Linked DNA regions of Arabidopsis thaliana. The protein of the gene in region 2 interacts with the protein of the main gene of each other region in a pairwise test. Each region holds a gene or a part of one and is shown on either strand. Other genes may lie near its edges. The genes, in order: AT2G40260, AT4G18340, IRX9-L and CYP711A1.

Evidence for each region.
Region 1: the proteins of AT4G18340 (region 2) and AT2G40260 interact in a two-hybrid assay, tested with the Arabidopsis thaliana proteins (one large-scale study listed by BioGRID).
Region 3: the proteins of AT4G18340 (region 2) and IRX9-L interact in a two-hybrid assay, tested with the Arabidopsis thaliana proteins (one large-scale study listed by BioGRID).
Region 4: the proteins of AT4G18340 (region 2) and CYP711A1 interact in a two-hybrid assay, tested with the Arabidopsis thaliana proteins (one large-scale study listed by BioGRID).

What each region holds. Positions count from the first base shown.
Region 1 is NC_003071.7:16,814,342-16,822,336, reverse strand, and holds AT2G40260 (Homeodomain-like superfamily protein), read left to right. Parts: upstream 1-3,606; 5' UTR 3,607-3,863; coding exon 3,864-4,182; exon of another isoform or gene 4,183-4,306; coding exon 4,307-4,383; intron 4,384-4,477; coding exon 4,478-4,514; intron 4,515-4,639; coding exon 4,640-4,742; intron 4,743-4,822; coding exon 4,823-5,519; 3' UTR 5,520-5,807; downstream 5,808-7,995. Other genes in the region: AT2G40270 (Protein kinase family protein), read left to right, coding at 1-201; AT2G40250 (SGNH hydrolase-type esterase superfamily protein), read right to left, coding at 7,086-7,273, 7,387-7,660.
Region 2 is NC_003075.7:10,127,733-10,135,346, reverse strand, and holds AT4G18340 (Glycosyl hydrolase superfamily protein), read left to right. Parts: upstream 1-3,154; 5' UTR 3,155-3,327; coding exon 3,328-3,400; intron 3,401-3,620; coding exon 3,621-3,957; intron 3,958-4,193; coding exon 4,194-4,902; coding exon of another isoform or gene 4,903-4,935; exon of another isoform or gene 4,936-5,027; coding exon 5,028-5,102; 3' UTR 5,103-5,297; downstream 5,298-7,614. Other genes in the region: AT4G18335 (uncharacterized protein), read right to left, coding at 5,984-6,478; AT4G18330 (Translation elongation factor EF1A/initiation factor IF2gamma family protein), read right to left, coding at 6,760-7,323, 7,407-7,614.
Region 3 is NC_003070.9:9,599,650-9,608,382, reverse strand, and holds IRX9-L (Nucleotide-diphospho-sugar transferases superfamily protein), read left to right. Parts: upstream 1-2,281; 5' UTR 2,282-2,501; coding exon 2,502-3,265; intron 3,266-3,789; coding exon 3,790-4,039; intron 4,040-4,129; coding exon 4,130-4,300; 3' UTR 4,301-4,320; intron 4,321-4,513; 3' UTR 4,514-4,706; exon of another isoform or gene 4,707-4,832; intron 4,833-5,186; 3' UTR 5,187-5,205; downstream 5,206-8,733. Other genes in the region: AT1G27610 (uncharacterized protein), read left to right, coding at 739-951, 1,078-1,272; AT1G27595 (symplekin), read right to left, coding at 5,466-5,568, 5,658-5,761, 5,844-5,927, 6,027-6,071, 6,411-6,482, 6,556-6,636, 7,364-7,459, 7,669-7,743 and 4 more.
Region 4 is NC_003071.7:11,137,340-11,145,601, reverse strand, and holds CYP711A1 (cytochrome P450, family 711, subfamily A, polypeptide 1), read right to left. Parts: upstream 4,794-8,262; 5' UTR 4,752-4,793; coding exon 4,510-4,751; intron 4,022-4,509; exon of another isoform or gene 3,907-4,021; coding exon 3,754-3,906; intron 3,680-3,753; coding exon 2,932-3,679; intron 2,840-2,931; coding exon 2,744-2,839; intron 2,662-2,743; coding exon 2,332-2,661; 3' UTR 2,242-2,331; downstream 1-2,241. Other genes in the region: IQD6 (IQ-domain 6), read left to right, coding at 620-685, 760-987, 1,065-1,292, 1,365-1,478, 1,555-2,169; AT2G26160 (F-box SKIP23-like protein (DUF295)), read left to right, coding at 6,151-7,146.

The DNA.
Region 1 (7,995 bases), on a different chromosome or scaffold from region 2:
ACACTGGAATCTTATGATGCCAAGATTGAGAATATAGGTGAAGTGATCAAATCATGCCTTAGGACTGACCCGAAAGAGAGACCTACAATGCAAGAAGTCACAGGATGGTTACGGGAGATCACGGGATTGTCACCGAACGATGCTACACCGAAATTGTCACCTCTTTGGTGGGCAGAGTTGGAGGTTTTGTCCACGGCGTAAGAGAGACCCCTTCACTAATAAAACTGTATATATTTTGAAGATGTGAGTTTTGTAAGTGTCTGTTTTATTTATCTCTCGTAATATTGGTAAAGCAAAATTGAAGTTCTCTTCAAGTTTAGTAAATTTACAAACATGTATATGATAAATTAGTGTGCATATCGGAAAAAAGTTCTTGTGAAAATTATATCCGTTTTCTTCTATATGAATGCATTCTTTTGTTCAAAGTTATTTTGTAGCAAAATGATAAGAGGAGAAATTGCAAAATACTTTTAAGAATATAAGTGTGCATAAATATTTTCATGGTTTGAAGAGATATTTTATTCTTGAATAACTTGGCAAATAGTTCCTCGGGACTCATGTCTTCTTCGTCGGAGAAATAAAGGTCTTTGACAGGTGAAGGTGGAGCTTCTTCCATCTACCGCTTACGGAGAGGAGGTTCGTCTTCGTGAAACCACAAGTTCGCTTCATCCGACATCACATCATACATATTCCTGTGATTTCGCTGAATAGTCTAGTCGTCTTCTACTTCCAAGAGAAAACGGAAACCTAATAAGTGATGGGTTTGTAATACTTTTGTTGCACGGAAACCCCTTTACTTTATTTTTAATGTAAAAAGACCTCTACTCTTTTTAATCCTCAACAATCAATCAATAATGATTTTAACACTAATTAACATCTTCTATAGATAATTTGGGAAGAGTAGAGTCCAATTGGCCTAATTGGGTGATGGATTTTGTTGTAGAGAAGATCGTTAATAACTAAAAAAATATCGATTTAGAAGGACATTTTACTTATGAAAAAAAAAAAAACAGAAGGAAGAAAAACTAAAATTTAGAGTTTTAGGTGATGTTTGCAGTTTTGCTCCAAAAAAAAATAAAATGATGTGTGTAGAGATTTTGATTAAGAACAATAATAACGTTTTAAATTTCAGTCAAAAACATTATTCCACAGTCATTGTTTGATTGAATACATTTTGTTTGTGTCATCACTGAATTCCCCAAAGTAAAAAATAACTAATTTTCAAGCATCACATATGAAACGAAATTCCTAATTTTTAATTCGACAAGCAACCTACATTCCACGAAGTTGCCCTGGTCCAAACTTTATTCGTTTTTATTATAAAAAAATTGCGAGCACGACTTTTGTCCTCATGGTAATATAATAATGTCAGACCAAAAAACGATATAAAAGTGACTACGAATAATATAATATGCAATTGTGGTTTCAATACCTAAACTATTGGGCCATACTGATTGATTACTTAGCTGCAGTGACTATGCATGCAACCCCATGCATAATACGTACAAATCTCATTATTATTATATTCCTCTCGGTTCACCCCTAATTTATTCTTTCCGATTAATATATTTACGTTCACATATGGTTGCACATTATTTGAAGTACAATTATATAATATATTACTTGAATTTTCTTCGGTCTAGTGTACACTGCGTATATAGTTTCTACAATCTCAGATCTTCAGTTCAAACCCTATATTATAAAAAAGTTATAGCCTTATAGGTACCGAAATTTTAAAAGTTGAGAGACATAAAACACGAAGACTTTGGTCCACGCTTAGAATTTGATTGGTTCATTTCATATATGTGTCAAGGAAAATGAATTAGCATAGTGTCGTGGTCAATTTCAACGGATTATATAACTTAGTAAATCAATACCGTAGTTAATATACCCTTTTTTTGTCAATACCGTGATTGATATTAATACTTAGCATTTGGTATCTGTTGGGTCGTATAATTGATCATGGGTTGTCTGAGCATGGAAGTAGGATTATAGGGTAGATATGAAGAACGTCATTCTAACGTAAATTATTATTGCTACACTTTTAAAACCAAAATATACGACAGCTTTAATTCTTCCTACCAATTAATAACGACGACGAAAATATACGATTACGGCTGGACATTGGGCTTCCAAAAACGATTTTGAAAAAAAAAAAAAAAACAGAAAGAAATGTCATATACCTAATTTATTTGACCGATGACTTTCACATTATCTGGTCACCATTCACAAAATTTGACACAGTACTTGCATGTCGCTTACAAGAAAAATTAGCCTGCTGATGTTAGAGGAATACAGATAGATACAATTCTGCCTTGACCCTCTCCTGGAGGCGCAAAGTTCATGACAATAAGTAAATCATATATTATACATTTTAATTTTCTCCTTTCTAAGTTCTTAAAAAAGTATGACATCCCCTACTTTGCCTACTTCCTTAATTTCACAAAAATAAAAGTATGACATACTTAATTAGAACATATCTTTTGTTTAGTATTTTACTAGTAATTTTAATAGTACGTACGCTATATAGAACGAACTAATCACCCCTGAACTGAATTCCAAACTAAATCAATTGGTTGCATGTGTGTACGTACAGAAACTCATATAATTCTCAAGTTCAATTCTGTGATAATCATGTGACTTATTAGCTTCAGTTGTTATATTCTGTATCCTAATTTATTTATTTATTTTTTAACATTTATTTGGGTTATATATAGAAAAAGAGATGTACTATTTGCATGTATATAGAGAGAGGCGCATGTGTAGATAATTATAGATAATATGAAATCGTAAGAGTAGTGGAGATGGAGACAAACCCGTGATTGTCGTTGGTGACAGAAACAAGTAGTAATATTTTCTTCTCGTGTCTTTCAGTGAAGACAGCCCAGCCAAGCACCTTTTAACTTCTGTCTGATTCCTCTCTCTATGCTCTTTCTCTGTCTATCTATCTAATTATGCTTTTGGGTTTCTTCTTTTTCTGGTTTCACAGCTTTGGCTTTGAAGTCACGAGCCCATCCCCCTAACCATCCCCTTTTATGCTTTGCTTTTCTAGTCAATTTAATTCATGAGTTGTAACGATGGAAGAAGTTTCATTTATCTAATTAATGTGTATGCCTCATTAATGTTGCCTTCTTCCTATATTGCTAAAAGCTAGTTCGAATGAAACAAAAACACGTACCAAATCCAATGAAAAACATAGATCTTCAGTTGGTTTTGAAAGAAAGAACAAAAAAAATTGTTAATGTACATGTCATATTGAACCCTGATTTATGTCATAAAATTGGTATACGTACGGGTTGATATCATGAAAACGTTTGATCTTTTACCATGAAAATGATCATTATTTAGATAAATTCAATCTACTCCTTGGAATTTCTTTTCACTCCCTATCACAACGAGATTCAAAGATTAATTGTACTAATTGACTTAATAGTTATTAACTCATTTTAAAATACATCTTATGACTGAAGTTACTAATGTTTAATGAAATTAAAAGTACCATTTTTGTCATGAGGTGTAATTCTAGATCTATCTTTCCCTAAGATGTATATAACTGTAGAAAAAACCATTGGTGTAATAAAAAGCTATATATTAAATAGAATTTAGAATATCCGTTGCCATCATATACATATTTCAACATATATGTTGAGTTGGAGAGAGAGGGGGAGAAAAAGGAATGATGGATACAAGCATCCAAAAAGTCATACACATAGACCATCAAAAGTCTTCACCTTAAATTCCTAACACATATGTATGAGTGTGTGATCTTTGTTTGATCTTTGTCCAGAGAACTCCAAGATAGACCAAAAAGGTTCAACCTCAAAACAAACAACACAAAAACAGCCAAATAGCTAGAGACCAAGATGAGATCAAGCAGCCAAAATTCTGAAAACTCCAAGACTTGTCTATCTAACAACATCAAAGCAACCACCAAGAATGAAGAAGATAAAGATGAAGAGGATGATGAAGAAGGCGAAGAGGATGAAGAAGAGAGATCTGGAGATCAGAGCCCATCTAGCAATAGCTATGAGGAAGAGAGTGGGAGTCACCACCATGATCAGAACAAGAAGAATGGAGGATCCGTGAGGCCGTACAACCGCTCAAAGACTCCGAGGCTGCGATGGACGCCGGAGCTCCATATTTGCTTTCTTCAAGCTGTGGAGAGATTGGGTGGCCCAGATAGTTGAGTTTCAATTATATATATGAATCAATATCAAGATCATTGCATATGTGAAGATCTCTAAATTTCTAGGGTTTTCTTGTTGATATTTATTTGGGGTCTCTTTCAATGATTTTGTTGAAACAGGAGCAACACCGAAGCTTGTTCTCCAATTGATGAACGTCAAGGGGCTAAGTATTGCCCATGTTAAGAGTCATCTTCAGGTTTTGCAAATATCCACATACACATAGAGTATATATCTATATACATCATTGAGATCTTCATCTGAAATCATACTTCATTTTTTTTTCTTCTTAGATGTACAGAAGCAAGAAGACCGATGAGCCTAATGAAGGTAGTTTACTTAGCTTTCTTCTACCTTCTGATTTAAGTTAGGGCTTCTATAAATCTTATAATTGAATTCGACGAGAAATTGACTAATTCTTGTCTCTCGTGTTTTATCTTTTCTTATAACTACAGGAGATCAAGGATTTTCGTTTGAACACGGAGCTGGTTACACTTACAACCTTAGCCAACTTCCAATGCTACAAAGTTTTGATCAAAGGCCTTCTTCTAGTTTAGGGTATTTACAAACTCTTCAGCTAGCTATCTTTAAACTATAAGTTAAAATTACGTGTGTGTAACTTGGAATGTATTCAATAGATATGGTGGTGGTTCGTGGACTGACCACAGACGACAGATCTACCGTAGCCCTTGGAGAGGATTAACGACACGAGAAAATACAAGAACAAGACAAACAATGTTTAGCTCACAGCCTGGTGAGAGATATCACGGAGTTAGCAATAGTATTCTTAACGATAAGAACAAAACTATTTCATTTCGAATCAATTCTCATGAAGGGGTTCATGATAACAATGGAGTAGCTGGAGCTGTTCCAAGAATTCATAGAAGTTTTCTTGAAGGTATGAAAACGTTTAACAAATCATGGGGACAGAGCCTCTCTTCCAATCTTAAGTCCTCCACCGCAACAATACCACAAGATCATATTGCTACAACGCTAAATTCTTATCAATGGGAGAATGCTGGAGTGGCAGAAGGATCAGAGAATGTTTTGAAGAGGAAGAGGTTATTATTTTCTGATGACTGCAATAAGTCAGACCAAGATTTGGATCTAAGCTTGTCCCTTAAGGTACCTCGGACACACGACAATCTTGGAGAATGCTTGTTAGAAGATGAAGTAAAAGAACATGATGATCATCAAGATATCAAGAGTTTGTCTCTTTCGTTATCATCTTCAGGTTCATCAAAACTCGACCGAACCATTAGGAAAGAAGATCAAACTGATCACAAAAAGAGAAAGATTTCGGTCTTGGCAAGTCCCCTTGATCTCACTCTGTGAATATGTATAACAACTTATATACGTATATTCTAAGTGAGATCTTGTGGTACTTGTTGATGGAAGACGGTTCTGTATTGTTGTTTATCATTCGTTGCATACTTGTGACAAGACCCATAATTAAGGAAATAATAGAGACATTTTTTAATGTTTTTTATTAAAAAAAAATTCACATAATTTTGTCGAGATCGTTAAATGCATATTTTAAAATATATATGATTTGTGATCGAGTTGGGAGCAGAAATTTGTTTTCTTCTAAATAGTATAGTAACCAAGAAATACATTAGTGAGAGTCTATATATATGGTTTTGAGAGTTACAAGACATTGCACGTTGTCTATAAGCTTGTCTAGACGTTGCAATGTATATGTAGTTTACTCTCACATAACAAGTATCCTAAGCAATATTTTTGTTTTAACATGGAGATATTGTCTGAAAATTTATACGTTAACGTCAAATCAGTGAATACAAGAAAAGAAGATGAAGACTTCCGAGTCATAGCTTTCTGAGCTATAGCATTATTATTTTTATAAAGACGAGTTTTTGCCTTCTTCAAAATCGTTTTATAAATTATTCTATGTTTTAGATTTGTAGTTGAAATTATATGAAAGGTCCGTTAATTTAAAAATCAGGTCTGCTGAATGTTTTGTTTGTATTAAAAAAACAAAAAAAAAAAAACAAATCGGTTCTGATAACCAACCAAAGTTTATTTTAATTTAGTTGCGAGGTTAATTAAGAAAAAAAGAAGACACTTTCTTTAAGAGAAAATTGGAGAGAACGACAAGAAGACAGATGTACTTGACATAGAGATATGTCTTGATCTCCTCGATAGACAACAAGCTAGTATCTGTTATTCGCATATAATCGTTTCTTATCATCTTGGGCCTTGAATAAGATTTGGCTATATGTATTATATATTTGGGAATTTTTTCATATTTCCAGAGAATCAAAACTATGGAAAGTTTTTGTTGTTTTATGTCTACTCACATGTGCCTTTGTTGTATCATTCCATATTGTTAAGTCAAAGATATTTGTAACGTGAGACATCAGTTTTCTTTCTATGCTTATATTTGAGATAGTGGAATTCTAACAAAAATATTTAAATATGATTATGATAACTAAGCAATTTCATAATTAAAATCTCATGGGAAGAAATATACAAATTAGTGAATTACATACACTTTTTAGTTGGGAGAAATGTTATACTGTTGGTCTGTCGGATGATCTTGGTTATTTGATTTTCGTTTTTACATTCCCACCACACGAAAAATGAAGCGAAGTTCAACTAAACTACAAGGATGTTAATAACAAGTAGCAACAACACAAATACTTACCCACAAGGTTTGTATTTTTTGATCTGATGTCACTCAAAGTCTATTTTTTTCTTTATTACAATCCTATCTAGGAAAGTAACTGGATATGTAATGTCAGTTGCAAACATTAGAAATTATGATAAATTTAATAACAATTAAGCCACCAATACTCTTAAAGAAAAATTTGCAAATAAAAGACCAAGTACCAGAACTTTATTGGTTTAAAAATAAAAAGTCTTGTAAATAAAAATAATAAATTAGAGGAGAGGAAACAATTTTTGTAAGGCGAAACTAGCGATGACAGAATAAGCCGTCTGTGAAGGATGCACAGAATCAAAGAATAAATACTTGGAAACATCGTCACAAGTCCGAGACAATGGTTGGCATAGAGGTCCTGCCTCAAGTAGCCCTGTCCCACAACATCCTCTCAATGTTTCCTCTAGTCCTGCATACATTACTCTTCAAATTAGAAACTATGCCACAATTAACAAAATTTGTATATGGAAAAACTTTAAAACAAAAAAAAAAAAGAAAAAAAAACTTAAATCAATTAGTTACCGTATTTACGAGGATGTTTGATCATGTCTATTAACGGAGAGTAGATATCAAGGTAAAGAACTTTGGAACCTCGAAACCTCTGACTGAGACCGAAGATTAGCTTCTGTAGCTTTTGATTGTAAACCCGAGAATCATCGTTCTGATGTTCCGTACAGATCCGATGATGGAAGATGCGAGGAGTATTGATGCTAGTAAGTGTTACTTGCACCGGAAGGCATCCGATTGGTGGTAGTCCAGCTATTGTAATCCTTCGTGCTCCTGCCTCGTATAGTCTCTGTAAGCATTTGTAAAGTCAGAAATCTAGCTGTTAGTTGGATCTCTCTCTTTCTCTGTTTGAGACCCAAATGGAACTATCCGAAAACAAGATAACTATGGAGGTCCCTAACTAGTGTTGGTCGGTAATTGAGTTTTCAGTTAAAGGTTGTAAGTTTGTGTTGTTTCACTCAAGAGGCACAAGTAGAAAGAGACACAAGTATGAAGAGACAGAACTAATTGAGTTGTTGTGTCTATTTGTTTTCTATATAAACACCTTGTATCGTCATGTAAAGATTAACAAGTTTCAGTTTCAATAAAACAAAGTTTTGTTCTTGTCTTCTTCACAAGAGAAGA
Region 2 (7,614 bases):
CACTATTCGAAATGGCCCACGATATCTGTATTTTAATATGACGTCAAATATCTTATTTTGTCTAATGAATCCAAACTAAGTACAGTATGTGAATCTTGGTAATATATGTATATAGAGTTCAGTTCAAATATAAAATACAAGTGTATGACGTCAAAAAGAATTTTTAGATACGTTATAGGCTCATTATTTAACTATATGTTCACTTTGGTGCAGCTTAGTATCTTTTATGCAGATATAATTTGAATTTTTGATCTGGTGAACTATATATTGTTAAGTAAAAAAAAAAACATGTCGGTCCAACCCAACCTAGACCTGTCAAGCATGTTTAATGATGGTTTGGCCTGATCCATTTGTTAAACAGTAGGTAAAATTTGCAATCTTTTTTTTTTTTTGTTTTTTTTTGATTTTGCAATCTTCTCCCTTATCTACACTGTTCTCTTTAAGAAACCCGCTATAACACTTCCCGAATCATTCATGCGGGAGAATTCAAAGGTACCTTAATATTACCACCTTCAAACCAATTCGCACATGGTCCAAGTTGGAAATGGTTAACCAATTTAGTTACCTATCACTATCAAATTCCCACAGTTGGGTGTGATGCATCATACATTTGCAAATGTCCAACATGGAAATCCGAATCAAGTAAACCCTATATATACTCTATTTTTCATGCGTTAAAAGGGTTAAACCCTTTCTTTGAAGAAACTTAACCTTTGTTCAAAAACATTGATATCGTTGAGTACTTGTGTTGCTTTAAAAAGCTTTCATGTCATTTTATTTGCATATTCGATATTGTAAATAAATTGCAGATTAAATGGCATATTCTTTCAATCCGAGCTAAAACAAAATCATTCTCTTTTTCTGTCTGCTGTTTCAAACTTGCTGGACAATTATATGATCTTTCTGATTTGGACATTAAAATATCCACAGATAACGTAAACTTGAAATATTCTGCAACCAAAAATATGTCCATTCAGTAAATAATTAACAAACTAGATCATATTCATGAAGAACTAAACCAGAATCATTAAATTTAAACATTAGAAATAAATTAAAACTTGTGTCATATACTCGATAATAAATCAAATTATCTTTAACTTTACACATATAGGCCTATATAAAACAATCTGTTCGGCCGTGTATGGTATATAGTTACGTCATTATCAAATTAATCTATATGGAACTGCCATAAGTCGACCGGTGGTCAATCCTAAGCCACGAAATCAAACTTTTAAACGACGAACTAAAAGTTTTCAGCCAACTATAAACAGGCCACTCTGAATAATTGACTGATTTTGACTCCTTTCCACATATTTAATTCCAACATCGAACGATTACATTTTTAATTGCAACAAGTTCAATAGCTTGAGACGGGTATATTTCTTATAAGTTGTATACATGTGTTCAAATAAAATGGCTCTTGGTGTCGTGAAAAAGAGAGAAGATTTAATATTATAGAATCGAAAAGAAGACACTAGGGTATTTTGGATTAGATCAATACAGCCAAAAGTTCCACTTTAAATTAATGTAATTTTCTGGCTAGCCAACCTTTCGAGAAAACGAATTGACTATCGTCTACGTGATCAAGTTTAACCCTTTATATTTTACCATTTAAAAATATAGTAAGTAGAAATTAATTGATTAACAAATCAATAGCCAACCAAGCGAAAGCACTTACTATTTCTTAAATAAGTTTTGTTGGGGTTTATTATGTCAGGTGATTAAAAAACAACCGATGGTTGAAATTGACCGACGGCTCCAAGTGTGTGACACTGCCCCGCCAACTTGTCTAATTCCCCTCGAAAGCATATTAGCAACATTATCCCAATTGACCATTTTATTTTACTTTTGTTATGCTAATGCTTTTAGTTATTTGTCAATTTATACATTATCATATTTGTCTTGTTTTATTTTACAAGTGCCTCAAAATTAAGCATGATCCTTTTGTCTAAAGGAAAGTAAGTATATCCCTTCTCTATCATCTTAATCCGAATAACAATATATTTGAGATTTTTTCTTGACAATTAATGGCAAATTATATTACGACTTATATATCTTTCACGAATACAATTTTGGATATCCCGTTCTTGATAACTTTCGAGGACTTGTATGAATTTCCGTCCAAAAGCCTCGGATTACAAAAAGAAAATAAATATGTGATATATGTTTATTTGTATGTATTATATTTCCCGGGAGATTTGAAAATATTAAACTTTAAAGGAGAAACGGAGGAGGCTTCCTCAGTGTACTATTGAATCCTTTGACACGTCAAGTCAAATCGGATCTCCAATTAGCTTTTGTCTAAAGAAATATAGTAAGGTTTGTTTGTCATATTAATTAGGCTAGGATACACTTGCGGTCAAGATTCATGCGAAAATGTAATCATTATTCTTCGAATTTGAATTAGCATTAAATTAATCATAATTAACACGTGATTAGTAAAATCAATGATTCAGATAAATTAGATAATAATATTAATAGTAGTAAAAGTTAATAAGAAAAATAAAGACCATTTTTGTGGGACTAATAACCCATTATAAAATTTCTTTTGTCATGAAGTTTTAGCTGAAAATTTGATATTTTACCTTTCATGATTATTCTACAAGACATGATTATCTATTAAAATTTCATTGTGTTAATATTAATTTTTATACCACGTCTTTTTCTCCATGATTATCGTAGAATAAACTTTTGGTGTATAGTACAAGTTTGTTTTAAGTCACGACTCACCTACTTAATTGAAACGAATATTTTAATATTTTCCGGTGCTTTATGAAACTTCTTCAATATTCTATACACGTCCACTTATGTGTATCCCAATCTCTTCTTAATTTAATAACATTGCTCACTTTTTTTACCAACCCAACAGTTAACACCACTTGTATAGTACATGTAATTAAACGAAACACACAAACAACGTATTTCCTTCCATACATGTGCATGCAAATTGTCTTGTCATAGAGTCTGCATTAATCTAGCTATATGATAAATAACTACATACAAATATTTTAAAACCTAATAATTTTCTTTAATAAGAAATCCTTCGTTGTGGTTTATAGAAAGCCGTCAGTGGATAAAAAAGGCATAAATGAGAAAAGCAATATAGGGAGGCAAAGCTAAACAATTTAAAAACACTTTTTTTAAAAAACATAAACTTCAACACTAAACCTTTTCACAACAAAAAACACGGAAAAAAAACAAACAAGCGAAGAAAAGTATTCTTCACCTTGGTTGGCTTATTGTGTATGTCTATAAATATTCCATTAAACACTTCTCTTAAAACCCAAAACCTTCACAATCTCTTTCCCTCCCTCTCTCTTCCTCAACATGACATCAAGAACATTCACAAGACATTCCAGTCTCATTCATGTTTTTCTCCTGCTTTCTCTCGTTTTCTCAGGTTATTTTCTTTTTCATTCTGAAATTTTAAAACCAAATTCTTAACACTTAAGTTATGCTTTACGTTGCCGCCTTAAAACCTCAACGTGTAAGATTTTAACATAGTGAAATAACGGATCGATAATAAGTCTAGAATTCATTTTTTCAATGTTTGTTTAATGGAATATTAAAGATTTTTGGCATTGTTTTCTAAAAGTTCGATTCTTTGTTTGGAAATATAGGGAATATACTACAAACAGTAACGTCTCTTGGCATCAATTACGGACAAGTTGGGAACAATTTGCCTTCACCGGATAAAGTCATTAACCTCTTGAGATCTTTAAGGATCACAAAAACAAGAATTTACGACACTAACCCTCAAATCCTTAGTGCCTTTGCAAATTCAAACATCGAGATCATCGTCACCATCGAAAATCAGGTTTTACCATTACTACAAGATCCTCAACAAGCTACCCAATGGGTAGATTCTCACATTAAACCCTATGTTCCGGCCACTAGGATTACCGGAATTATGGTCGGAAACGAGCTTTTCACCGACGACGACTCTAGTTTAATAGGGTAAGTACTAATCGTTGAATATTAGTCTAATTTGTTACATGATCACAGAATTAGTTTTTTTTCATTAACTGATTTCACATTTTCTTGACTACCACTTGGTCAAATGTAACGAACTCCTTCGAAAAAAATATTATATTTATTAAACTCCACTTTGAATTTCAATAAGAAATGAGTGTAATAGTTTTTGTCCAATAATTGCTAATTTTGACTATATTCTCTCCTCTTTTTGGTAATAGATACATGATGCCGGCGATAATCAACATCCACAAAGCCTTGGTCCAATTAGGTTTAGATAGATACATTCAAGTCTCGTCTCCAAGCTCTCTTGCCGTCCTCGGTGAATCTTATCCTCCATCTGCCGGAAGTTTCAAGCCGGAGGTTTCCTCCGTGATGCAACAACTTCTAGATTTCTTGGAAGCCACGAAATCTCCTTTTTGGATAAATGCTTACCCTTACTTTGCCTACAAAGATAACCCACAAGAAATCCCAGTCGATTACGTTCTATTCAACCGTAACATCGGCATGACCGATCCCAACACAAGACTACACTACGACAACATGATGTATGCTCAAGTTGACGCAGTTGCTTTCGCGGCTGCGAAACTAGGGTACCGTAACATAGAAGTTAGGGTTGCGGAAACAGGGTGGCCTTCAAAAGGAGATGTCGGAGAGATTGGAGCGTCTCCTGTGAATGCTGCCACGTATAACCGGAATCTTATGATGAGGCAATTCGCCGGAGAAGGAACTCCAGCGAGACGGAATGCAAGACTCGATGTTTATATATTTGCGTTGTTCAATGAAGATATGAAACCAGGTCCTACTTCGGAGAAAAACTACGGTATATTCCAACCAGATGGATCATTAGCTTACAATTTGGGATTCTCTACAATGTCGACAACGACGGCAAATTCAGAATCTGTCACTTATTCATCCTCTGCCACTAAGGTACGATTAGTATTATGTGGTGAATTTTGTTAGAATTTGGAATTATTGGGGCCACGACGAGAATAAGTTTGTGAAAGGACTAGATGTGCAAAATGAATTAATTCTCTGTTTTCTTCTTCTTTCAGGCAAAGAGGAGCTTGGAGTATTGGACAATTTTGATATTGGCGATGGTTCAAGTTGTAATGTTGAGACTATTTTAGAGGAAAAGTTATTGACAATATAATAACGCGATTGTTTAGGATATTTATGTAAACAATTTAATTATAAGCTTGATAAATATAATTTATATTCAATTCAACATTCAAATGAAGTCGGTCAATAGTGAAAATTCTAAATTTATTGTTGTCGTTAACAAGTAATTGACATATATAATAAAGAAACAAAGTTTACTTTTTAAGAAAAACTTGTCGTATATGAAAAGGTTTGAGTAAGTAGTAACTTTGACCAAAAGGCATATAATCGATAACCAGTAGCGGTTTAGAATCAACCATATATTTTTTTCCCTCTAATTCAAGAAATATGGCATAGCTTAATTCATTTGTATATGTTGTTGGATATTTTAAATACAATCCCTAGCTAGTTATATAATATAGATATTAGAATGCAAACATATGCATTGGAGTGGACGGTACGAAGAATTGGAACTGAAGCTAAGAAAAAAAAGCCATGAAACAAGAGCTTATGCTCACGATGCAAATTCACATGCTCATTTCCAATTATATCGGCTCAATATACTCCCTTGTTCTTGCCACAAACGATGCGTTTTGACCTTGAAAACATAGACACATATGCTTTTTTCTCTCCATATATTATTTTACCGATCAGTCAAGTTTAGTTTTATAGAATAAAATAATTCAGCTGCACGTAAGGAAAAATAAGTACTTTCTGAAAAATCAAAGGACACGAACAATCAAACATTAGTATGCAAATTATTTTCATACACTTGACCGTCAAAAATGCACTGATCAATGCACCGGTCATTCCGAACAAAAAAGAAAAAAAAATCTTTAAAAGATGAAAAATACAAAAGTGCGACGAGAGGAACAAAATCGTTTCACGTACGACGTATCGGCAACGATATCTAGGGTTGTGTAGAAAGATCGCAAAAGAGAGTAGTAGCGGAATTAGGGTTCTGGTTATGGCATGGAGATGAACCGGAAGGAGGTACGAATCCTTTGGGAAGCATAACCGAGAAAGTATCCTGTCGAACCGGACGGTTTAAACCGTTATTCTTCTTGGCCATCATCTTGAAGTAGCCAGCACGATGATGAAGACCACGGCGATGACGAAGAGTATGTCGATAGTAGTAGTAGTATTGGTGATTGTAACGACGACGACGGTGGTTGTCTCGTTGCAACCGCTGGTTCAAGATAAACGGTGTCGTTTTCTTGATGTAGACGAGTTGGTGCGGTGATTCGTAACCGTTGAGATAAGCTTCCGTTTTTTGTGTTGATGATACTCTTGTTTCTTGATTCGAAGATGATGATGATGGTGAGATGAGGAAGACGAGAGTGAGAATAAGAGAGACGATGAAGCTTTTTAGAAGACTCTGTTTCATCAAAACCAAATCTTCCATTGGGATTGAAAGAGAGTATAGGGTTTTGGCTGAGAGTAAGAGAGAGCGTAAAGATGAAACAAAAGCTCAGAACGAGGAGGGAATTAGAATTATATAATTCCTAATTAGTGATAAGTAATATCATTAATGAAATTATGAATTTGTTTTTTAAATTTTCGTCAATGTTGTGTTAAATATGAATATAGTTTTATATTGTAGTCGAAAGAAAGTGATTAAACATACAAAGGCACATGTTAATTATTTTTGAATGCAAACAATATAAAAAACTCATCACTACTTCATTAGAAAGGAGGAGGAGGAACATCGATGGTGGTTCCAGCCATAATCTGACCCTTACCAATTAGACGCCAATGCCTATCGACACGTCGGCTTAAAGCAACCTTCTCTCCTATGGTGGTACACACCGGAGACGTCAGTTGGAGTTTCACCATATCTTTCTTGACTCCAATAACCTTAGCTCCCGTAGACATAGACCCGATGTTCACCATCAATATCTCTTCTTTGGTTAGCTTTGACACTTTCATTTGCTTCTCTTTTTCCTTTGTCCTCACTCCAATGAGACGAGTCAGAAGCTGGTAACTTACTTCAAGCTCAACAAAGACGTCAGGGAGAGTACCCATTTCACCAAGGACTTGACCAACCAACCTATCAGCACGCGTAAGCGTAGGGTCCATGGTTGTTCCAACTCCGATTAGACCTCCCGGTACAGCAAACTGAAGCTCGTTCTGTTCCGCGTATAGTGAAGTTATACGCGAGTAAATTGGAGTGCATTTTGAGTTTCCATGCTCATCTTTGCCAGTGATACCAGGTCTAATTTCAATCAGTTGGTTCACTTTCAAAACACCCAAACAAAGAGAGACACATATTAATACTAAATTGTTTCACAGTCAGGTAAGAACAGAGGAGAAACAGAGAGATAAAAACATACCTGGAGGATACTTCCACCAGCAACACCACCTTTCATTTCATGACCCGCCGAGCCAGGTTTATTGACATCGAAAGAACGAATCACAATCATCTTTGGTGGTGACACAAAGTCTCTCACAGGGATTGGAATCTTCTTGACAATGTATTCACTCACAACATCAATGTTGTATTTCAGTTGTGCTGAGACAGGAACTATAGGTGCATCCTCA
Region 3 (8,733 bases), on a different chromosome or scaffold from region 2:
GGGAAGGGAAAGTAGTAAGCAAGATTGGGGAGAGCTAAATTGGTGGTAAAAGTTGGAATCCGCTTAAACAGGGGTCAGTCTTCAACTATCTCGGACCCATGCCAAATTTAAGTATTTCTTATTAATGTGTCATTTGTTTGTTATCCTTCATTATAGTATTTCTTAATCTGTAATTTGTTTGTTATCCTTCATATATATAACCCTCATAATTATTTAGTTTGAAGTTGGTTTTTGTAATAAAAAATGTGTGTAAGAAAATTAAGCGGATATTTTTAACAATCGGAAAACCGACATTAAACAATTTTCTTTTTTTGTTGATAGTAAGAAAAAGGGTGGGATATAAAATAGAAGTTTATGTATTTTCTTTCACTTCCTCGCTCGTCTCTCTCTCTCTATCTATCTGAAACCATCACGATCTTCATCTCTAAAGTAACGATCTTCTATTTTCTTTTGTAAACGAATATGATCCTCTCGACTCTCTACGCTTTGATTTTTTTTCCTTTCTCTGTTAGGTTTTTCTCTCCTTGTAAAATCATCTATCATGACTGGAGGAGAGTATGCAAAAGTAAACATAACTTGCAATGACTCAGTTGTTAAAATCCTTGATCCTTGTTCTATGGCTGAAGTATCCACAAAAGTTTCAGAAATTCTTAAGAAATCATCCGATCCCGAAGTCGTTTGTACTCTGGATGTCTCTAGTGAAATCATGAGGAAGATTGTAAACATTGAAGGAAACTAATGAACACCTTTATAAATATTCATATAAGAGTTCTGTTTCCCACACCAGAAAGACAGCTTATAACACATGCTTGTTGGAGCTTCTTCTTTCAAAGCAACTATCAACCAGAAGAAGATTCCTACAAACCCTTCTCCACTAAGGATGAGAAGTGGATCCGCGAGGAATTCAACAAAAAAGAAGAAGATCCTAAGAAGCTCTTCGAGCTTTTCAAGGTATGTGCTTATATGATTATCATTTATAGGACTTTCTTAGGTTTTGGATTACATTTTTTTGCTTTCTGCTATATTATCGGGTTATTGCTCAAATTTTATGGATTTGTACACCTATGTGGTGTGTAGGCTTCAGAGTACCTTGGATTTGTACATCCAAGTCGTTTGATCAGAAGGATGGAGACGAAGAACAGTATATTCATCACATTTATTTATAATCCTTCATTAATGACGGGTTCATGGACGAACTACCTACGAAGCCCTCCAATGAAAGGCTTATGCTACTTTGGGTTTTTGTTTTGCAAGTCTTTACAATTTTCATAGCCATCTTTTTTCCTTTGTAGCTCACTTTAGAAGAACTTTAGAATCGTGTATCGTTTATCTGATACCGTTTGCTTCACAACATACGTTGAGTCGATAAATTGATTGTTTTTATTTTATGTTTTTATCTGTTTTTTGCCATGAGATCAAATCAATAGATTTAACATCTTGTAAACCTAAACATTTTTATTTTAATAAATAATTAAAAATCACTACATAAATTTTTAATATTTTGACACAAAAACTTATGTAAATCTATTTTTGAAACTAGATATCTGCTTGTACCGTTAAAAATAGATTTAACAAAACAACTGAGAAATTTTTTTGACTAAGCTTTCAAACATACAATACTAAATCTAATTCTACTTGAAAAAAAAAGAAAAAGAAAAAAAACACCACAGCAAAAAAAATTAATCGCTTAATCAAATATTACGTCGCCAAGCTTGATATTATAGAAAACTGGTATTAAAATAACCCAAACTTTCGAAAAAGGACTGTAAATTACACATGTTTTAAAATTTTGTCTAATATTTTTGCACCGTTAAAAACCAAAACGGAATATAATATCTTTTTGTACCATATGTGTTGCAATGATGTAAGAAATGCATGCTAAATTTAATAGTAAATCTAGTTGACATATGAGTTATATCTATTTTTATTACCGCTAAAATAAATAAAATTTTCAATGTAATTAGAACTTAGAACTCATTCAAGTATAGTGGATAATAGGTAAGTAGAGGCCATTACTTTATATGATGATAAAACTTAGAATTACTTATTAATCATGTTTTCTTTTTTTGGCAGCGTTTACAATTACAACTAAATCCAATTTATGTTTTAATTATTGTTTTTACCATAGTAGACCATTTCCTCGAAACTTAAACGTAATCATTATTTTGCCAGAGTGTACGAGCCATAATCTCGCCACGTGTCCCACGAACTCGCATAGCTTAAAGATTTTTTTTTAACAAACAAACAAACAGTGCTTTTTCCGCAACTTTCTCCGCCAGCTCAATTTCAGATCTCGGCGGCGACGGATCCATTCCAATCGTGTTTCAGATCGGTGACTTTGAGTTAGAACCAACCACCTTACTCAATCCGACTTCAGATTGAAATTGCTATATCCTACGCGGATTCTCCTGCAAACTTGGTGCGGATCTCTGCGAAAATTGCTGTTTTGGATGTTTGATTTGGGAGCTGTGAAAAATAGGACGGTGGAGTGAGATTATCTGATGGCGTCAATCCGGCGAACTCTCTCGCCGATGTATCACGATCGTTCTCACGAGAATGGAGGTTCACACAAAGGTTTCACCATTGGTGGTAGTAGCAGCAAACACAATTCTTCGCAATTTCTTTCGTATCTCACCAAGCTCCTCGGAGTAACGTCTGATCCTAAAAGCTCGCGTAGAGGTCCATGGAGGCGACCGTTTTACCAGTTTCTCGTCTTCTTTCTTCTTGGATTTGTATTAGGTTTGACACCTTTCGGAAAAATGGAAGATGTAAACGGTTCCGATCGATTCTCCTTCGAGATCAAACAGCCCTACGTTGAAGAACGGTTGGAAAATAGGAAACGGGAAGAAGCAGCTGTAGATGCGGTGAGTTTCGTGGCGGAGACTGAAAATGGGAAGAAGGAGGTCAATTTTGTGCCGAAGAAGCTTCTAATTGTGGTCACACCAACGTATAATAGAGCGATGCAGGCGTATTACTTGAACAGGGTTGCTCAAACGCTGAGACTAGTTGAGTCGCCTGTGCTGTGGATAGTGGTGGAGGGTAACGTGGCGTCGTTTGAAACCTCAGAGATTCTGAGGAAGACGGGAGTGATGTACAGGCACTTGGTTTGCAAGAGGAACATGACGAGTATCAAGGATAGAGGAGTGCATCAGAGAAACACTGCATTGGAACATATTGAGTTGCATAAGCTTGATGGAATTGTCTACTTTGCTGATGATGACAATATCTACTCGCTTGAGCTCTTTCAAAGCTTGAGACAAATCAGGTGACTCAAAAAGACTGCTCATTACTTTTGCTGTCTCTAATTGATGGTAATTTTGTGTGAAATAGACTTATTAGAGAGACTGCGGTTTATGTTTGAGTTTGTTAGTTGAGCAACTCTATCGTCTGCGCTTATTTTATTGGCATCTTTTTGGCTTTATTGCGTGCAGTCTTTGTGATTCTAGTGTTGTTGAACACCGAATATACGCCTATTACTTTGATGTTGAAAGTAATGAGAATTTGAAGTTTTCTGCACAGAATCTGAGTTTTTTTTTGTCTGCCTGCCTCTATTCTTACTTTTCTGCTTGCTCTGCCATGTGCTCAGTCTTGTTTGTTTGAGACTTGAGAGAATACTTCATTTTTCGTTATTGGAAAGGACTCTGTTAAACATTCTTTTTGTACCTTGTCTTGGTTAATCTAAGCATCCATTGAGTGTAAATGCTGATGGCTTGATTTCCAAAGCTTTTCTTCTTCTAAAGTATTTGTCCCCAATTTTAATTTGCTATACTTATCTGTTACATTGTGTAGCCGATTTGGGACTTGGCCTGTTGCTATGCTCGCACAAAGCAAAAACAAGGCCATCCTTGAAGGTCCAGTATGCAATGGAAGTCAAGTAATAGGATGGCACACTAATGAAAAGAGTAAAAGACTAAGGAGGTTCCATGTTGATATGTCGGGATTTGCTTTTAACAGCACTATACTCTGGGACCCTAAAAGGTGGCGACGTCCCTTTTCACATCCAACCCGCCAACTAGACACAGTGAAGGAGGGTTTCCAGGTATGAGTTTGAGTTTTTCCCATATCTTTGGATTTCTCTGGTGTGCAGTCAACCCTTTTCTTATACATGACATCGTGTGTTTCCAAGCAGGAGACATCATTTATAGAGCAGGTGGTGGCTGATGAAAGCGAGATGGAAGGTGTTCCACCAGCTTGCTCGAGTATACTGAACTGGCATCTTCACTTGGATGCCCTGGATGTCCCTTATCCACAAGGGTGGGCGATCCAAAAGAATCTGCAGGCTCTCATAACTATGAAATAGTTTGAAGATAGTTTTGACTGGTAAGATTTATAAGGTTCCGAACTTTTAATGTGAACTCAAGACCGTGAAAAGTCAGTGTTTGTTTGGATTTGGAAAGGGTGAAGCTAGCTAGTTGATCCTTAATCAAAATTCGGATTCTCTACCTATTGATGGTGCTATGCGTGTTTGTTTGCAGAAGAATCATCTGACTTCTCCCTCCTATATGTCTTGCAGGTTTCTACTTACCCCATGTGCTGTGCTCATTACTGGATATATATCAAAGAAGCATATGAAGAATGGAAGAAGACGAGCGAGGGTAGTTTAGGATAGTGATGAGGCACGCATTTTGGATAAACGTTGCTGGAATCGTGAGCCTCCCCTGAATGCAAGAGTTGCTTGGAATTAAATTGAAGGCCTTGGTGTTTTAGTATGAGATGGAATTATATTACCTTCGGACATTGATGATTCCACAGCATTGTATTCGCCTATGGCTAACCAAATTCTTCTTGTTCCTTTTTTTTTTTTTGCAATGAAGAAAAAAATTCACCGCCTATATAATCAAAGTCTAGTCTATACTAGAGTCTAGAGCTTAAATCATCACTTCCTAAGAAGAGAAGAAATAGAAAGAAACAACCGCATGTTAAAAACCATACTTAATACAGAACACAAATGGTGATGCTATAGCAAACAATTAGATAGGGTGTAAAAGTAAACGAAAGATTTTACATTTTCCAGGAAAAAGGTATCGTTGAATATAAGATTTTACATTTTCCAGGAAAAAGATATAATACTACAGGACCTAAAGGGTGTCTCAAATTGGGATGGGCTCGAAACCGTATAAACTCAATGGCAATTGATATTTGGTCTTGATATTATTATCCTCAACTCTTATCTTCTCTTTTTATAGGAACAACGTTGATGCGATTGTACATCCATTACATGTGAACCCCTTCTCACGGCCAAGGTGAAATTTTCATAATATACACAAAAAGGGCAACAAATAAGAAATTATCAATGACCACACACGCTGGGCTACCATACTGGTCATGCTACTAATCCCAAAGACATGTAGTTAGTAGTCAGATTTACGCGTGGTAGCCAGTCTCCCACCATTGACACAGGATCTAATCATCTGTGCTTTGTCTCCTCCAATAACTTCAACTTGGCGATATTCTTCCAGAGAGAGTCACGTTAAGGCCGCCCCATGAATAGACGAAGTTGCATCTGAAGGGTGCATTTGTGAACGTGAATCTTGCCCATTGTCAAGCCCAAGAACTGAAAGAGCTGAACTGTTAAAACATGCATCACCATTCAGTATCTGACATGTGGTACTTAAAATACAGGATAACAGAGTGTCTGTTTGATTTAGAAGACCTACTTTGGTAGAGAAGATCTGATAGTTGGCTGATTCGCATAAGCAGTGAGGGAAGGTCTTAGATCAGGAAACTTCTTCATGATACTTTCAAGTTGAGGCACTGGTAACTGCAAAACAACACCAAAGAGTTATTTGGATTTTTGGGTAATACACTAAACTCGTATATTCTTCCACAACGTTTTCTTGTACCTCCAATAAAACAGGGAAAGAATGCGGCTTTGTCTGAGACACACATTTTAAGAAGCCAGGCCACAATTTTGGCAGCCTCCAGATCTGCATCCAAAAGACACGGCAAGACATTCAGTCATAACCACACAAAATAGAAAATAAGTCTCAATGCTGATCCTTGTGTTTGATCTTTAAATTACTCACCTGCTTCCTCACCAACTTGGAAAGAATTTCCATTACAAAATCAACCTGGACAAAAAATCAGAAAGTTCTTTTACTTCTGACCAAACGAATCCAGAGTTCGATCTATAGACTTAAACCATATACTGTCACTTCTCAACTAAACAATCTTATAATATAGCTTAGACTAAAACTATACTAATTGCACTTTACTTTGACATTTTCTTTATAATTAAGGGTTTGTGAGACCCATCCAAGCTAGAGAGAGCTTTGGGTTAGGCCAAGGGAAGAATGCAGTTCTTTTGGGTTATTTCAAATTCTATTTCTGTTACTTTGGTTCTTTTGTAATAAAAAAGCTTTTAGGTAAATATGTCACGGAGGTCTTTAAACTTATAGTAGGACACTTACTAGTGTTGGAAAAGCATCGATTGCCTGGATAACCGTTCGCATGAAGAGTAAAGGCAGAGGAGTTCGATCAACCTGAAACCAAAAAGTATCACAGATCTCAATATCTAACTAAATAGGAAGTTCTTTTCCATGATATTTGACATACCATCTGACCGAGGGCCTTTGCTAAGACTTGCTGCGTGAAAACAGTGCGTTGTTCAAAGCAAGCTGAGCATGCATCTGTTATCTGAAAACAAAAAACAAAAAAAAACACAGTCAAATGTGACTCTGCTATCAATAGAGACTAGATAGAACAGCTAGCATAGTGGCAGAATTTCATAAAGGGTCGTCCATGGGTAAAACAGATTAATCTTGTCGATAGCAACTCTGACAATCTAATTAGCCAGTTGCTGATTGCCCCTAGTTTTCTACCTTCCTAAAGCGAGTGACATGAGATGAATCATTAATATTCGCGTAAATAGCTTGCCTGGAAGTTACTGGGAAATACCTATTTTACTAGTGAGGAAATAGCAGAAAATAAAAAGGGCATTTGATATGACATAGCAGCAATGCTTCACGCTACCAAAATTCTGTAATAGACGTACACACCTAAACCAACGTATTATTTGAATCCCCAACACTCCCAACCCACCATTTCCACCCTAATTTCTGGATGACCTCGTCTCTGTTGAATTTACGATTTATGATAACTGCCTCTACGTAAGTTATGATAACGTGGCCATATGCAACTGATGATGAAGTTTTATAAGTTCCTTATGCACACTTGCCAAAAGCCACAGAACTTAAGCAGAGCTGATGCATCGAAAAGAGATAGGGATAGTAAAGAAAGCATGCCAATAGGAAAATATACACAGCAGTGTAGGTCTAGTATCACGACTGATTTTGAGCAAATGAGTGCAGAAAACAAGTCCCTTCAGAAGTACTTTCAAACCAGATAGAAAAGTTGGAAATACCTTTTTAAGTGGTGGCCCATCCTTCTCAGGAACAATATCGTGGATAGCAATCAGTACCTCGGCAGGTGTAAGTGCAGGGCCTGTGTGAGCAGAACCCTATCACAGATATAACACAAAAGATCGGAATAGTTCAGAAAAACTACAGGTGTGTAAAATATACTCATGAAATGAACTGTTGTTCCTGTTTTGTAACTGGACAAACCAATCTCTCATTTCATCAGATATTAAAATATCAAGGCAATCCTCTATGCATAGCATGATCAGTGAGTAGCAATTAAAGGATGGATTGGAGAATATGCATATACCTGTAATATATGAGCAAGTGCAAGTTGAAACTTTTCAGGCGGAAGATTAAGAAGGGGAGGAAAGATGGGCAAAACCTGTTACATTGAAAAATAATGTCCGTCATAAAATAAGGAATTTCCACAATTGATAGGCAATAACAAAACATCATCTTTCGCATCCACCAGCAAAGGACCAAAATTTTTATCAGAAGCCTTCCATGATTACTAGTTCTTATTTATTTCCACATTTCAGATAGGTAAAATAACGAGGGAACAAGATATATAATAAAAATAACAAGCCTCTTCATCTTTCTTCAGGGTAAACGTACAGCGAAAGAGCAGAAGCTATGGAAAGAAAGTAAAAACTAACCTCGTCTTTAGTGAGTGAAGAAAGCAATGGAATAAGAATTGAAACATCCTGCAAAACAAATTTTCTGTAAGGCTTTCTGAACTTTATTTTCATAATTATTTACACACAAGAAAAAGATACGAGCGAGCTCTTCATAACAAATCAAACCTTTAGCTTTGTTTCATATAGATGTTTTACAGTAGCAATCAAATCCAAAGAAGGTGCCAATTCTTGTGTCAATATTTGCAACACCTTCACAAGTAACAGACCGTTATTCAAAATTAGAATCTACTTTTGAGGCTAACGTGGATTTACTACAAGGAAACACAGAAGTCACTTACATATGTCAATAAATTTTCACTTCCCTTAGGAGGGTCGGATATTATTTGGAGTAGTTCCGTATAAGATGAACCTAATTCTCGTATTAGGATAGGTATATGTCGATGAAAAGCCTGAACCATTTCAGTAAGTCACCAAAATGAATTAATTTGAAGTTTGTGAATATCATTTACTCCCATTAAAACTGTGAGAACACACGTGATGCATATAAGAAATGCCATACATCGCCCCAACACAATAAAAATCTGATAATCAAAAGTAATATCCTATCCAAAAATAATTCTGTACCATGCCACATGTGATGCACATAAGTGACACGAGGGTTTATTAGGAATAGACTAACTCACCTGGTTTACCATTTTTGGAGCTCTCCCATAAACTTCAAAGACAAGTCGAAG
Region 4 (8,262 bases), on a different chromosome or scaffold from region 2:
AATTATATAAGATAATAAGTTCTGTTATAGAGGTTATTAGACAAGTGATAGGTCTAACCAGTCCAAATCACAAAATCCAAAAGCTAAACATTGCTTTTCGAAAGAGAATGTATTTCGTAAATCTGATTTGCAACATTTTGGGAAGTTTAAATTTCGAATCCAATGATATAAGAATAATAAAACAAAACAAGGTATTACATGAACATGAGTGAGTCACTGTAAAAAGTAAAAAACAACAAAAAGCCTAACATACATATATATATATATTTATTAATTTATTGTACCTTTTCATGGTTTCTTTTTTCATGCCTGTAACTCTGAGAAGGACACAGACACATTTGTTTGTGTAAGTAATAAATAAGTGTGAAAACACAATCAGAGACAAAAGCCTAAAGACTCGAGCAAACTTTTTATTAATATTTTGTTTGTTGCTTTGCTTTGATTTGTTCAAATTTCAAAAACTTCTCTTTAACCCACCACTCCCTCCATTACCACCACAACTTCACATTCTCCGATATTCTCTCTCTCTCTATCAATCTCTCACTCTCAAACTTTCTACATACCTGAAGAAAAAAATAATCTACGAATTCGAGCCAAAAAGATCGAAACTTTTTAATCTATGGGTGCTTCAGGGAAATGGGTCAAGTCCATTATCGGTCTCAAGAAGCTAGAGAAGGATGAAATCGTAAGTTCATTATCTTTTTTTTTTGTTCTCTCGTTCAAAGGTTAAAGCTTTATCGAGAGATACTCTGTTTTCAGGAAAAGGGTAATGGGAAAAACAAGAAATGGAAGCTATGGAGGACTACTTCAGTAGATTCATGGAAGGGTTTTCGAGGAAAACATCGGTCTGATTCAGACGGTGTTGATTCTTCTACTGTTTACTCTGCTGCTGTTGCTACTGTTCTTAGAGCTCCTCCTAAAGATTTCAAAGCTGTTAGAGAAGAATGGGCTGCTATTAGAATCCAAACCGCTTTTCGTGGATTCTTGGTGAGTTTGCTAATTGGTTTTGATTAGAATTGAGAGGAATAGAACTTAGTTTAATTTGAGGATTTGTTGTTAATTAGGCGAGAAGAGCGTTGAGGGCATTGAAAGGGATAGTGAGGTTACAAGCTTTAGTGAGAGGAAGACAAGTTAGGAAACAAGCAGCTGTTACATTGAGATGCATGCAAGCTTTGGTGAGAGTACAAGCTCGTGTTAGAGCTCGTCGTGTGAGGATGACTGTTGAAGGACAAGCTGTTCAAAAGCTTTTAGATGAACATAGAACCAAATCTGATCTCTTGAAAGAAGTCGAGGTTCTTGTCTTTACCTTTTTAGCTCATTGGTTTGATGATTGTTTATTGTTTTGAGATTTGTTATGTTCTCAGGAAGGGTGGTGTGATAGGAAAGGTACTGTGGATGATATTAAGTCAAAGTTGCAGCAGAGACAAGAAGGTGCTTTTAAGAGGGAACGTGCTTTGGCTTATGCTCTTGCTCAAAAGGTAACTAACTTGTCCACATTCAACATCTTGTTTAAGTTCGTGTCTGAAGCTGAATCGGGAATCTTGTTTTGTGTAGCAATGGAGGTCAACTACTAGCTCAAACCTTAAGACGAATAGTTCGATTTCGTATCTTAAAAGTCAAGAGTTTGATAAGAATAGTTGGGGATGGAGTTGGTTGGAGCGTTGGATGGCTGCTAGGCCATGGGAGACTAGACTTATGGACACTGTTGATACCGCTGCCACGCCTCCTCCTCTGCCTCATAAACATTTGAAATCACCGGAAACTGCGGATGTTGTTCAAGTTAGAAGAAACAATGTGACCACTAGAGTATCTGCAAAACCTCCTCCTCATATGCTGTCTTCAAGTCCTGGTTATGAGTTTAACGAGAGCTCAGGTTCATCCTCGATTTGTACTTCAACTACGCCTGTTTCTGGAAAAACTGGACTTGTTTCAGATAACTCTAGCAGTCAAGCAAAAAAGCACAAGCCAAGTTACATGAGCTTGACTGAATCGACAAAGGCTAAGCGAAGAACTAACCGCGGTCTCAGGCAATCTATGGATGAGTTTCAGTTTATGAAGAACTCTGGAATGTTTACAGGGGAATTGAAGACTAGTCCTTCCTCAGATCCTTTTGTTAGTTTCTCCAAACCACTCGGTGTTCCTACTCGATTCGAGAAGCCGAGAGGTTAAATGTGACCTTGTTAGATTGGAGTTTCAACAGCTTGTTGTTGTCTTGTGTGTTGTGAGATATCTGTGTATGTTGTTAATTGTTCTTTTTCCTTTGGAACTACATTGGAGTTTTGAATTTAAATATAAATTTCAGTCTTGCTTTTATTTCACTTGTTTCAAGAATCAGAATCTTTTGATGGTTCTGAGCTTAACCCCGTTCTTGAAGCTGAGAATTATACCATAATCAAGCTGCAGTGGTATCTCCATTTCTAGGGAATGTCTGAAAATGTAATTACGGTAGAGATGCAGTAATGTGAGTTTGATCTCTTGCAGGGCAAATCTCTGTCCAACACAGGCTCGTGGACCGATACCGAATGGGATGAAAGCGTATGGATGTCTATGTTTCTCCTCTTCTCCGTTCGGATCAAATCTTTCCGGCTTGAACTTCTCCGGTTCTGGAAAGTTTTTAGGGTCCTTTGCTAGAACTCCTAGTGCTAACCAAACCCATGTCCCCTAAGCAACAACCACAAGGTAAGTAATAGATTACAAGTGCTGACTGTAAATGGACTAATCCGCTTGATGGGTTTGAATATACCTTTGGGAGTAAATAACCTCCTATCTCCACTTCTTTAGCAGTTTCCCTTGCAACCAAAGGAGAAACCATGTAGAATCTCATAGCCTCTTTAATGACCTACAAAGGAGGCAAATAAAAAACATTCATAAAGATTCTAATCTCTCACAGAAACTCAACTTCTCGGTTTTTGTTTGTTACTAATGAAGCACCTGATCGAGGTATGGAAACTTGTGTTGTAAGTCATGAGCAGTCGGGATCAGATCACGGTTCCCAAACCCGTCAATTTCTTGAAGCAGACGTTTCTCAACATCAAGATGACCAGAGACTAAGTAAAGAACAGAGGATAGTGTGAAAGCAGTGGTTGCAGAGCCAGCAAGAAGATGCTCATAAGTCACAGCACTAATATAATCCGATGTGAAGATGTTTTTGGCGAAAGGATCGGACTCTCGAGCTTTCAAAATCAATGACAAGAAGTCTTTTGAGTCAGTCTCAGCCTCCTTGGCTCGCTTTGACACAATCTCATTAAGTTGTCCACTCAGTCTTGCATTAGTCTTCTCGACTCTCCAGTCCATTGTTCCCGGTATCCTCTTCAACACCTGCCTAAACGGCTCTTGAAGAATCGGAATCAGTAAGCCTAAGATGATAGAGAGTGATCCTGATAAATCCATCTTGAGTTGTGTTGTAGAGTAGACATGCTGGTTTATGAAATCAGTCACCTCCACATCTTTGATTGGTTTCTTCCCGGAAAGACCGAAGTCGACTCCAAAAGCCGCTTGTCCGATGATATCAGTGGTAAGTTTGAGGAAGAGGTTGGAGAAAACGATATCTCGCGGTTTAGAATCAAGATTATGAGTAGCAGAAGTGATGAAACTATGCATTGTAGGGATAAGACTTGTTAAATGTGAAGGCTGATAGAGAGATAGGATGGTGTTTCTCATTTTAGACCATCTCTTGTCCCTGTCAAAGAATCATAAATGGTTATAGAAACAAAAACATACATAGTTTTATAGAGCATGTATGTACCATTGTACCTGGTGAAGAAGAGGCCTTTCTTGTGAAGAGGAGAAGCTGAGATTGGGGAAGGAATGCTTCTGTTTGGAAGATCTTTGAACTTCTTTATCCCAACTTCTCTGCAAAGCTCTGCTTCTGCTATTATTATCAGTGGTTGCCTCCCCATCTGAAATCTGTTTGTTGTTAATTTAAATGGACATGATCACTTGTCTTCATTTTGTTTTTTAGACACTTGTTGTGTTCATCACTCAGTCATAACAACCATAAGAGATGGCCATATATACCAAACTAAACCAAAATGATTAAACAAAATTAAACATAATGTGTTTATAAATCATTTAAATTAAAATAAACTGAAAATCAAATGAAATAATACAAAAACTACATTAAATTATAAATGTTTTTTTCCATTAGGTTTTCTTAATTATTTATCTCTTTTGGTTAAATTGGTTTCATTATTATCAAATGACTAAAAATGAAACTGAAGTTATAAATAAACAGAAATTCATTAAAAAGTTATATTTTTTAATTATATATGTTAAAAAGTACTTGTATATTAATTAAAGCACTATTTACATGAAGTTGTTTTCCTTATTTTAAAAATCAAACTGACTCTAAAGTCTAAACAGAAAATCAAATCAAATAAACCAAAAATTACATTAAACCGAACAAATTAACTAAAACTGTTTTTTTTTGTCGACACGAAAACTTAAAAACTAAACTCTAGGTCTCTAGCCACCGAAAACAGAATAAAGAGAGAGAGAGAGGAGAGGTACCTGAAAATAGGGCCATATTGCTTAGCAAGAACGGAGAAGACATCAGGACCATACTTAGCCATCAAGGGCAAGTGACCAACTAGAGGCATAGCGGTTGGACCGGGAACATTGCATACGGACCAGGAGGGTCGGTACAAGTAAATCACAATTACAACCGCTGCAAAAGTCAAGAATGCAATAAGAGCTTCGTGTTGTGTCAAGAATGGATCAAGAACTTCCCACCATTGATGTTGCGTCTTCATCTCTCTAACCTCTAAAGTTCTCTCTTCTTTAGTTTAATGTGTGGGTTTGTTTGTTAGGTGGTTCATTAATTTATATAGTAGTTGATGTGCTTTTGAAAAGTGGGTTCTACACTCTTTCCACTAGCCCACCTTTAGAATAGCGTGGGACTATTTCGCAAGAAGACAACATGCGTTGAAATTATTAGTCAAGTACTCAAGTTCTCATCTCTACTAGAGAGTAATATTGCTAAGTTATTGTAACGCACGGAATCCGTATTAATTTTTATGTTTTTTTTTCTTGTCAACATTTAATTATTTAGTGTTTAATTCGAAACTATTTAACTATATTTAATACTCCTCTATGTTTGCAAAATTTACATATTCTAATATTTTTATATTCTGAATGTTAGTTTTTTGTAAATATATGATTATAAATAAACAGAATACTATCTTTTGAGTATGGGGTCCTTTTGATGTTTGACCAATCTTCACCCATCGTTGTACTTTTGTTACACTACTATCAAGTGCCTCTACTTGTCAAAGGGGTTTACCGTCAATTGGAGTAAACCACGCTTCTACTTTTGGTCTCCTTTCTCCACTTTTTTTTTTCTCTCTTTTATTTTGGATCACAAATTGTTCTTCCTTTTTCAGTTGAAAAAATTATTGATGGTTCTTTAGTTTTGTATTTTAATGGGTTAGGGAAAGAAATGGCTATATATGGAGGAGATTGTTTCGACTTTCGAGTTTGGACATTGGAATATAAACCAATAATTGATAAAGGAGAAATTTGATCATTGCATGACCATCATTTATGGAGTTAGGTGTTCCTTTTCTATCATGATTCATGATATTAGAATATTAGATCATTGTCTTAATTTTTGGTTTAGAGTTAATAATTTTTGTTCAACATTTCTATATTTTTATACAAATTTTGAAGTCTTTTTTTTTTTCTTTTCTTTCATCTAGTTACGTTTTTTTTCTCTCTCCAGATTTTCTGTTCTATTTGTTAGAATTAGAGTTAAGTTGACATGTATGTAGTAAGGGTATTAATTTGCACCAAAGCTATTGAGAGGGAGAGACGAAATTTCATCGAAATACGAACTGTTTTATAATTCATTCTGCGATTTTTTGGTTTGCTCAAATAATTTTTAACAAAAACAAAACATTGCTCCAATAATAATTTTTAACAAAAAAAAAACATTGCTCCAACAATAATACTAAGTCAATACATGTAATGCAGATATTACTCACGTGATAATAGCTAATCGAAAATCCAACTAGGAATTGGATGGATTCTAGTCCAGCCCACGTAAGTCCTCAAGTATCTAGGGTTTAAGTTTTGTTGTGTATATATATGGAGTTATAACAGAGAGGGCGAGCCGATGTTGATCACGCTCTCACATCGTCGATTGATTCAAAGATGGAAAAACCTGAGTGGTCTGAATTACCTGGAGACCTCATCAATTTAACCGCAAACCGTTTCTCCTCCATTAGTGACGTCCTCCGTGTACGTAGCATCTGTAAACCCTGGCGTTCGGCGGCTGCGACACCGAAGAGCTTTCAATGCAACCTTCCTTCCTCCAACAAGATGATAGAGACTGTTCTCTCTCCCACCACTTTCTTCCGTGTAACTGGCCCTTCTTCATGTTCTTACAAAGGATGGCTGATCAGAACCAAACAAGTCTCTGAATCCAGTAAGATTAATCTCTTGTCTCCTTTCTTTCGCCAGCTCCTAACCCCTTCACAACAAACCCTAGACCTTTTGAAATTTGAGGTTTCAGAGATTCGCCAATCTTACGAGATTCATATATTTGATAAGTATTTAATACAAGGCGTGATAGGTAAAGAAGGACCATCACATATATTGTCTAGAGTTGTTTTCCTAGACAATCTGATTTTCGCAGTCGGACAGGATGACAAAATCTGGTGCTGCAAGAGTGGAGAAGAGAGTAGTAGAATATGGACAAAAATCAAAAACCAAGTTGAAGATTTCTTGGACATTATACTTCATAAAGGACAAGTCTATGCCTTAGACCTAACCGGCGCAATTTGGTGGATTAGTTTATCACCGCTCAGCCTCCTTCAATTCACACCTTCAATTCCAATGGACTACGACGGATATGATAGTTGCAACAAGAGACTCGTTGAGTATTGTGGAGATCTATGCATTATTCATCAACTTCGCTTAAAGAAAGCTTATATCCGAAGGAGTCAAAGGACAGTTGGTTTTAAGGTTTATAAGATGGACGAGTATGTGGCAAAATGGGTTGAGGTTAGGTCCTTGGGAGACAAGGCACTCATTGTGGCTAGGGACAGTTGTTTTACTGTTGTAGCCTCCGAGTACCATGGATGTTTGAACAATTCTATCTACTTCGTTGATAATGTGCGAAAGAGTGTGATAAGAATGAAACTATGAATTTCTCTTTCTTATCCTTAAAATCCCAATTACAATGAAACAAACCCTAAATCGATAAGCTTGGAGTTACAGTTCTCCAATCTTATCTCCCAAGAACAGAGCACATAAAGCTCTAATCCTCTTTACACATCAATGATCACGCAGGATGCTTTTCTCTCTACTCTCTCTTACTATTTATAATCTTCTTCACACGTGACTCCAATCTCTCACTTCAGTTCTCACACGTGCCAACTTCTCATGAACGTATCAGAGTGGCGCAGAAGCTGATCAATTTATCAAGCATGATGATGAGAGTTCCGAGTACCATGGACTTTTGAAGAATTATATCTACTTCGATGATAATGATGGAGAATATTGTAATGATGGAATGAATGATGAAGCTGTTAAGATGTTCAAGCTTGGTGATGGTAGTATCATCGATAGTACTGAGTTTTCTTCTCATAGTTGTTTTCACATGTTCTTTCCTCCGTTCCTCTAAAAACGATTAATTATCTTAAATCTGAATCTTGTTTTATTTATTGCTTATAGTTACGTGTTGTGTTGTGTGCATGATCTTGTAAATGTTTGCAAATCCATAAACGACAAACATTGAATATAGAATAATTTAATCCAAATTTGAAACTGGAACATCATCTATAAGAAACTTGATTAAAAAAACTTTTATGTCATGAGTTATTTTTTCTTGAATCTAATTTAACATTTTTCTTTTTTTGAAGTTGTCGTGAGTTGTTACATAGGACTAGGATGCAGCAGGAACTTGATCTACAAAAATATCACACAGGCCATTTAGTTCCAATTATGTCCCAAGTAACTAGATCAACAAGTTTGTAAATTTTATGAACTTCAAAATTAAAAGTGTTACATTCAAAGAAATACTTTCTTAGTATCATGACCTCTTTTCTCTAAGAAAGCTTAGCAAAAGTTACTAATTACATAAACTCCTAAATGTTGACCAAAGTGAGTACTAAGATAAGTAGACACGGAGCTTGATACTCTTATCGCAGCTCCATCTCATGCTTCTAAGGTCTGGAGAAGGAAAAACAAACAACCATTAAAATTGTCAAACGAAATCAGAGTTTTTTATTCATCAGAACAAGAAAACACAAATGTACAACA